Linked DNA regions of Alligator mississippiensis. Each later gene encodes a partner of the first gene's protein in a complex. Links are inferred from orthologs where the notes say so. Each region holds a gene or a part of one and is shown in the gene's direction. Other genes may lie near its edges.

Region 1 (3,914 bases):
TTGCTAAGATATATTTCTCCAAATATTCAGTCGGTCTACTAAAAGATACCAGATTGACCCAAAGAACCGTGTCTGCCAGTGCCATGTCTTTAGACCAACCCCCTTAGCACCTGTCCCTGGTTAGCTGACCAGGAGGCAGGGCCCTGGGCACATCTAAGCCCCAGGGCTAGGGCTGGCAGGGAGAGTGCTCTGGCATCTGCGGGAGAAGAAGCTCCTGCAGGAGAAGAAAGAAATGCTCTGTCGCAGTTTGGCTGCCTGAGATGCTAGTGCTACTGTGTTGCTTACTTACCTGTTGTTATTTAAAGTGGTGGACCGAAATGAGGCTGTAGGGGAGGAAGAGACTTCATTGGGGCACACTACCATGTCATGTAGGATGACACCAGCACCAGCACCAGTGAGGGCGCACCTTAACACACACACCAAGTGACACATCACAAGTTTGCCTGAGGTGCAGTTTCCCAGAAACCCCTACACCTGTCTCCTTGAAACCTGGCAGGCTTCATGGTCTCATAAGGGGCTACCATCCCTGAGGTTTTCACCCCCCGCCCTTCAGTTACAAGTGACACAAATTTTGCTCTGAACAGTTTGAGGTGCAGTTTCCCCCAAACCCCTGCACTTATCTCCTTGAAACTTGACATGCTTTGTGGCCTCAGCAGGGGCTATGTGCTGTGCTGTCTTCATTCAAATTAGGCGAAAAATGATACTTATAGGAATTTTTTGTGAGTCCCCATTATAGCCGACGGGCGAAACGTTGAAGTGCGTCAGCGTTGAACAGTGAAACAGTTTTGACAAAATGAAACAGAACCGCGCTTGAAAGGAAACGTCTAAATGAAACACTGTCCCTTTGAAAAGGCGAAACGAAACTGAAACAAAAAGGTGCTGTTTTGCACAGCCCTAATAGACGCCCACCAGAAGTGGTGCAAGCACCTACTCCGGATAGCTTTGAGAAATGCCTGGACGCCTATCTTACAGGGGTCACCTGACCCCAACTGACTTCCTGCCCCTGGGGCAGGGGGCTGGACCCGATGATCCGGCAAGGTTCCTTCCAGCCCTAATGTCTATGAAATCTAGGTAAAAGTGCCCAGTCTGCCGGGGGAGGTCGGCGGACCACAGGCTAAAAAGAGAGAGCGTGAAGGGAGGGCGCCTGTTTCTCAGCCTGGTTAGATTCATGGCGCCCCTCCCTCAGAAAATGCCAGGTTGCGTTCAGGGGTGTGTGTTGTAGCCACGCTAGTCTAAGGACACAGGCAGACAAGGCTCTCTGGGTAAATGTGGTCTCTTCATTTTAGTTGGCCAGATTTACCCAACGAATCGTCGGTTTATTTTCACGTTTTGACAGAAAAGCAGCAGAGGTGGGCGGGCGGCCGCCTGCGGCACAGGTTTCAGAACAGCATGGCCTGCAGGCTGCAGCTTCGGAGCCCTGTTTGCAAGTCGAACAGCGTCCAACTACGGCCGCGTCAGCCCCCGCCCCAGGGGAGGGGCTAGTGCGCGAGGCCCCGCCCACTATCGAGCCCTTGTCTCGGGCAGGGAAACGCGGGTAGGGTAGGAGGGAGCGGTCACGTGACGGAAGTTGAGTCGTCACGTGGAGCGGGGTTGGGGAGTCCGCATTTTCCGGTCTCCCCTACAGAGACGCACTTCCGCCGGCGGCGACTTCCTCTTTGTCACTTCCGCCACCTCCCCGTTTCCTGCCCGGCAGTGGGGGGCTGACGACGCGTGGCCTGTCCTTGCGAGCGCGCGCGGTCTCCCCTTCCCGCCGCCGCCCGCTCTCCCGCTCGCCGCCGCCATGGCGATGCGGCAGACCCCACTGACGTGTTCGGGCCACACGCGGCCCGTGGTGGACTTGGCCTTCAGCGGAATCACCCCCTACGGCTACTTCCTCATCAGCGCCTGCAAAGGTGAGGGCTGGAGGCGGGGGCGGTGTTCTTCCGGGCCTGGGGGGGCGCGGCTTGTCTCGTCCTTCCCTCCCCGCTCGCGACCAGGCCGCGGGGCGGGGGGGGGGGGGGGGTGGTGTCTCCTTTCTCCTTTCTTCCTTCTCCCCGTGTCCTGTACGAGGCATGGGTAGGGGGTCAGGGTCAACATGGTGGAGGGAAGGCCAGGCCGTAGCTGCCCCATTGGTTAGGGCAATGGGAGGACGTGGGCGGCTGCTTTCCACTTGGGCCCCAGAGGCCCAGGTCCTGCTTGTGAGGAAAGTTCTGTTTCTGTTCTGGATTTGGATCTGATGGGAGGACTGCAGAGGTGCCTGCCCCACCCGTGCCTGCCTTCAGAATAAAGTGTCTGTGGCTTGACACCACTGCCGGGATTGCAGTGCATTCATTGCAGCAAATGGCCTCTTGTCCCTGATTTTTCCCTGGGTACATCTTTCTTCTGTATCTTTTTAGGATACTATCTTTTGCACATACCCATTGCCTTGACCAAATAATTGTCTTCCTTAAGAGGACCCTCTATGTCAGTGGTCACCAACCAGTGGATCTCAATCCACTGGTTGATCTTGGAGGCTTTTGGAGCCAATCCGAGGCGGGGGGGGGGGGGGGGGGGCTGAGTGCCTGTGTGCATGCATGTGCGTGCCCTAGCCCAGCAGGTCAATCCATGGGGGAGGGAAGGGGTGGGAGCTAGATTGAGGCCCCTGAAGTGAGGGACAGTGCCGCAGAGGCAGGAGCAGCAGTAAGTTGAGTGTAGTGGGTGAGTTCTTTAGATCTGTTAGTCATTGTTAAGTACATGTATTTTATCTGATTGTTAATCTTTCTTTTTCCCAAGATGGCAAACCTATGCTACGCCAAGGTGACACAGGAGACTGGATTGGAACATTTATGGGTCATAAAGGTGCCGTATGGGGTGCCACTTTGAACAAGGATGCCACTAAAGCAGCTACAGCAGCTGCAGATTTTACTGCGTAAGTAATTAACCATGTCTAAAATTTGACTGTATTATGATTTCAGTTTGCAATCCTAGAATTTTGTAATTTTTTTAAAATGCAGTTTCTGCATTAAATATATTTGCCTTTCTTACACACCTGGCCGATTTACAGAGACTTGTATTAAAAATTATAGAAAGTGAGGTTGTTGATATTTGTGGTAATACAGTAATGGTAGTTAAACTGTAGAGATGGCTTAACGGATTACTTTTATGGACATAGACTAATAACATAATTGTCTACCAACAACAATTTTAGATAGCCTCTAATCTTTTGTGTTGCAGTTATATCGGATGCTAAAGTCTTCTAGAAGTATGGGGGGTTTTTTGTTCTTTTAACTGCCATTTCTCACTTTTTTCCCATTTGACTTCTTCTGGTACCTACTTTTTTCCCATTTGACTTCTTCTGGTACCTACTGTCACTTAATTTTTCTCAAGTTAAATTATTTTCTTGTAAACTTGCTAAATATTTACATGCATGCTTAATGTTTTTGTATACACAATTTTCTTAACTTTGTTCAGACTACTCAGAGTATGTGTATAATAGTTCATAAGAATGTGAGTGCAGATCATGTACAAGTGATTCATAATTTTAGGCAGACATTTTTCAAACCTACTACTAAAGGGAGAAGGGCTGTTTATTTTGGAGTGGTACAAAGGAATTAAAGAAATGGAAATTCTAAGGCAGACAAGGTTCTTTGAGTGAATTTGATATGTTTTATTAGACCAGCTTAAATAGTTGGAAAACAATTATTAAGCAAGCTTTCAGGTTCAAAAACCCTTTGTCTGGATAAGGAAGTTTCAGCAGTTGGTGTGTACACTTCCTTGTCTGCCTATGTCCTTAGACCAACACGGCTACAACCTACACCCCTGGAAATTCTGATGTATTTGTTCTTAAACACTAAGCATTTCTACTGTTGGGCTTTACGTGTTGCCAGAGTGTAGTAGTTATGTATAACCACTACATTATGTTCTCAGGAAAATCTTGCTGCAACCTGAATAGTTAG
Region 2 (3,914 bases), on another chromosome or scaffold:
TGCACATTTAGTACCTTACATTGGAGGTACTAAATTTAATGCGCATTAGAAAAAGTGTATTAATGCACATGTAGACAGACACGCTCTCTGTCTACTTTTACAGAAGCCAAAGGGAACTCCCAAATGGGACAAATTATGAACACAGTACATTTACTTATGGAAAACTTCTGTTGACTGAAATGGAGCAGGATTTTGTTCTTAAGTACTAGACCTGAAAGAACCACTTGCTAATGCTGAGCTTTATGCACAGGTCCCTAGAATTGTTATTAAAGACTCAGTGGCTTGTTGAAGATTTCATTATTTGGTAGTTATAGATTAATATCACACAACTGCTTGTGCACAATGGTGTTTAATATTTCTTTGTCTAGAACAAAGGCTACCATTTCAAGAAGCTGCATTGAGCATTGTAGAGACCATGATGATTTAAGAGCTTCCTCCTATCCATCCTCAACCACAATCCAACTTTCATTATGGAAGCCCCAAAGATGATGAAAAGATGAAATAAGAATGATTTCTTTAGTAAATATTTTAGCTGACTTTCTGTCATTCATTACTATTCATCCTAGTAGCAAACTGACTGGGTAGATCTGTACAGAACAGGGGTAAAGTGTCAGAAAGGATAGGTGGTCCAGTAACTTGGAGCTACCTTAAGGACTGGGAGACCTACTTTCAAGTCCCCACTCCACTCAACAGCATCTCAGTGCTGCAGTTTCCAATCTGTGAAATGGGGTAACTCCAGACCCCAATGGACAACTCTGCACAGAGTCCTCTTTAACTTCAGAGAGGTCCCTGCAATTATAGGTGAGTCCTCACATGGAACCAAGTGGTAACAGATTAGCAGGGAAAGAATCCATCCCACTTCACCAGAACCCTGCAGGTTCTGCTCTTCTAGTAACATCTGACTTTTATCATTCAAATGAGCACATATGAGTTGGTGTAACTACTGGGAAGTTTAATGAGGTGCTGTGGTATTTTATTAGAGCAACTCAAATAGTTGGAAAAATTCTTCTTTGCAAGCTTTCAGGTACACTTCAGGCAGACACTTCCTCTGCCTGACAAAGGGTATTTGTACTCGAAAGCTTGTAAAGAAGAATGTTTCCATTCACGTTGACCTAATAAAAGATATGTGGTATTTTTAAATCACTCAGGAGCTGACTGCACCATCGTTCACCTCTAGTAATCCTCCTCCCAGGCAGAGTCCCGCTGCGACTAGATAGTGTCATGTTTCTGGGGCCAGTGTGCCCACGCAGCGCGTGGGAGGCCGACCGGAGAGCCCTGACTGAGCTCCCCTCCCTCCGCGCTCCTGCGCTGCAGGGCGCAGGGCCCCGAGCTCGCGCGACAGCCGCGTTGCGGGAAGACCCCGGCACGCCAGGCTGCCCTGCCCACAGCCCCCTGCACGACAGAAGGCGCGGGCCGGTGGTGGGCAACAAGCAGCAGCACCTCCCCCGCGGCCCGGCCGGGGGAGATCGCCAGTAAGTCCCCAGAACGGCCGCGGCGGGCGCTGCAGCTCTAGCCCCAAGCACCGCCCCTTCCCCCGCCAAGGGGCGTCACCACCTTCGAGGCAGAGCCCAGGGGGCGGGGCGGGGCGTACACACCTATACGTTATCTTCACTTTGCGAGTCGCGACTGAGTGACGTCACCGAGCGCGCCCGCCGCTGGTGGCTAGGGGTGGTGTTTGCTATTGTTCGGTGAGTTGCGGGTGGATGACATCATTGAGCGCGCCCGTCCTGGCGGGCATGGAGGCAGGGATGGAGGAGTTGATGCCGCGGCTGCTGCCAGTATGGGACTGCGAGCTCGCCGAGGACTTCGATCCCACCGCGCCCCCGCGGACGCCGCAGGAGTATCTCAAGCGGGTGCAGTAAGTGGGAGCGGGGAGCAGGAGCCGCCCCCCGCTCTGGGGCGAGCGGAGCGGACGGAGACGGGGCCGGGGCTGGGACCGCCCGTCCCACTGCACGTTCTAGCGCCGCCCGCCTCCGCGGGAAGCAGCTCCCCCGAGCTCTGCAGCTGGGCTGGCTCGGAGGGACCCCATGGGAGACTGAAGCACCGGCTTGACCACCGGGAGCCCTTTGCCTTGCCCCGGTGCTGCTGCACCGCCTAGCCTCGTGTCAGTGCCCTGCGGGATGCAGGAGCTAGTGCACTGCATACTGTAGGACCCACTGGGGTCTTTGCCGCAAATCTTCTGAGAGGGAGATGCTCTGGGCTGCATGTCTGGGCAGCACCATCTCACCCTGCTCACTCTCCTCTGGAGCCCCCAAGTGCCACTGTAGTGCCAATAACTGCTGAGTTTGGTGCCAGTGAATGTAACTGCTCTTTCCTTGTTTAAGATCTTGACATTTTTTGTTAACACCAACTTAAATAGAAACTTGCTTGCACACTCCGACACACAATCCGCCCCTCTTCCCCCCCCCCCCCCCCCAACATGACTCAGCCATGTTCATCTGTGTATCAGGGTAGTTTCTCTTAGGACTCTTTGACCCCATGCTGCACATCATGATCTGTTTTCCACCCCCACAGTATTATGTTGGAATTCATAGATGTTGGGGTCAGAAGGGACCTCAATAGATCATCGAGTCAGACCCCCTGCATAAGCAGGAAAGAGCGCTGGGTCTAGACAACCCCAGCTAGATACTCATCTAACCTCCTCTTGAGTAACATGGGAGCATTTGGAGTCTTTATCCAGTTTACTTTAATCAGAAGGATTAAAATGCAATCTTACTAGCTGTATATGTCAATAGGTAATAGCCTTCACTGCTGCCTCCAAAGGAAAGGTGGTCCTGTGGCTAAGGCAGAGAACTCCTGGAGTTGGGGATTTGGGATTCTGCTGACTGCCACAGCTTGGCTCATTTAAAACAAATTAACCTCTGCTCTCATTTTCTCTCTATAAAATGAGGGTATATACCTACTGTGGCCTAAATAGCAAGCTTAAAAGATGCCTGCATTTGTTTCTATTCCGTTTGTTTGTTTCTGTTAAAACCTTGCTGCATACCCTCTCCTAGAAGCATTCTCTCTTCTTTTCATTTTTTAATACATTCTCATACACAACTTAATTGTGCAAGTGCCTCATATTTTGATCTGGTCCCTATGCAAATATTACAACTATTTGCAAACTAATTATGTAATTCTAAGGAATGCAGCAGAGAGGGATTACAAATGTGTGGCGTTTTTTTCTTTTTAGGATTGAAGCTTCACAATGCCCAGATGTTGTTGTGGCACAGATAGACCCCAAAAAGCTGAGAAAGAAGCAGACCGTGAATATTTCAGTAAGTTTGTAGAGATATGTTCTTAAGAGACTTATAGAAAACACAGACTAAAATAAATGAAATGAGAATTCTAGGATAGAAAAATATTTGTATTAAAATACCTGGAAGTCTCAAGTAAATTTTAAAATATACTGTCCCTATATCTTAAAAGAATTTGGACAAGTAAATGGAATCTCCAGCCCTGCAGTCCAAATTCTGAATTGGTGGAAAAACTACAGTCTCTGTAAAACTCAGTTGTTCTAATGTATACCATATTTTCTTCATTCTAATATGAGGGTTCCCCCCACTTCATATAGAGGGAATCCCCTTGTCTTAGAAGTGAATACAAGGACAGAGAGCAGGCAGCTACAGAAGCTAAGACTTCAGCCCAGGCGTGGCCAGAATACAACCCATAGGCTGGATCTGGTCCACCAAGCATTTTATCCAGGTCGTGGCGGGTCACTCAGACCCATCTGGCTGAGGTGCAGGTGGCAGCCTAGGCTTTGGTGCGTGTGGATGGTCCCATCGTCCCCAGGCACACAGTGGGGCTGGGGCAGCGTGGCAGCCAGACTGTTTCCTGGCATCCTTGTTGGTGGCTGCTCTTTCTGGCTGCTACTGCCAATGTTGCCACTGCCACTGGATCCAGCCCTGCTGCCTGGGCATCCTGGTCCATCT

Evidence for each region.
Region 2: STRAP (region 1) and GEMIN2 share a complex: the UniProt entries of both Homo sapiens proteins name them as parts of the SMN-Sm complex. The link is inferred for Alligator mississippiensis from reciprocal best matches to the Homo sapiens genes STRAP and GEMIN2.

Annotation. Positions count from the first base shown.
Region 1 is NC_081827.1:120,443,080-120,446,993, forward strand, and holds the start of STRAP (serine-threonine kinase receptor-associated protein), read left to right. Parts: upstream 1-1,647; 5' UTR 1,648-1,780; coding exon 1,781-1,892; intron 1,893-2,751; coding exon 2,752-2,887; intron 2,888-3,914. UniProt on the Homo sapiens protein: The SMN complex catalyzes the assembly of small nuclear ribonucleoproteins (snRNPs), the building blocks of the spliceosome, and thereby plays an important role in the splicing of cellular pre-mRNAs.
Region 2 is NC_081825.1:260,114,366-260,118,279, forward strand, and holds the start of GEMIN2 (gem-associated protein 2), read left to right. Parts: upstream 1-1,206; 5' UTR 1,207-1,221; coding exon 1,222-1,472; intron 1,473-1,650; exon of another isoform or gene 1,651-1,703; coding exon of another isoform or gene 1,704-1,858; intron 1,859-3,175; coding exon 3,176-3,260; intron 3,261-3,914. UniProt on the Homo sapiens protein: The SMN complex catalyzes the assembly of small nuclear ribonucleoproteins (snRNPs), the building blocks of the spliceosome, and thereby plays an important role in the splicing of cellular pre-mRNAs.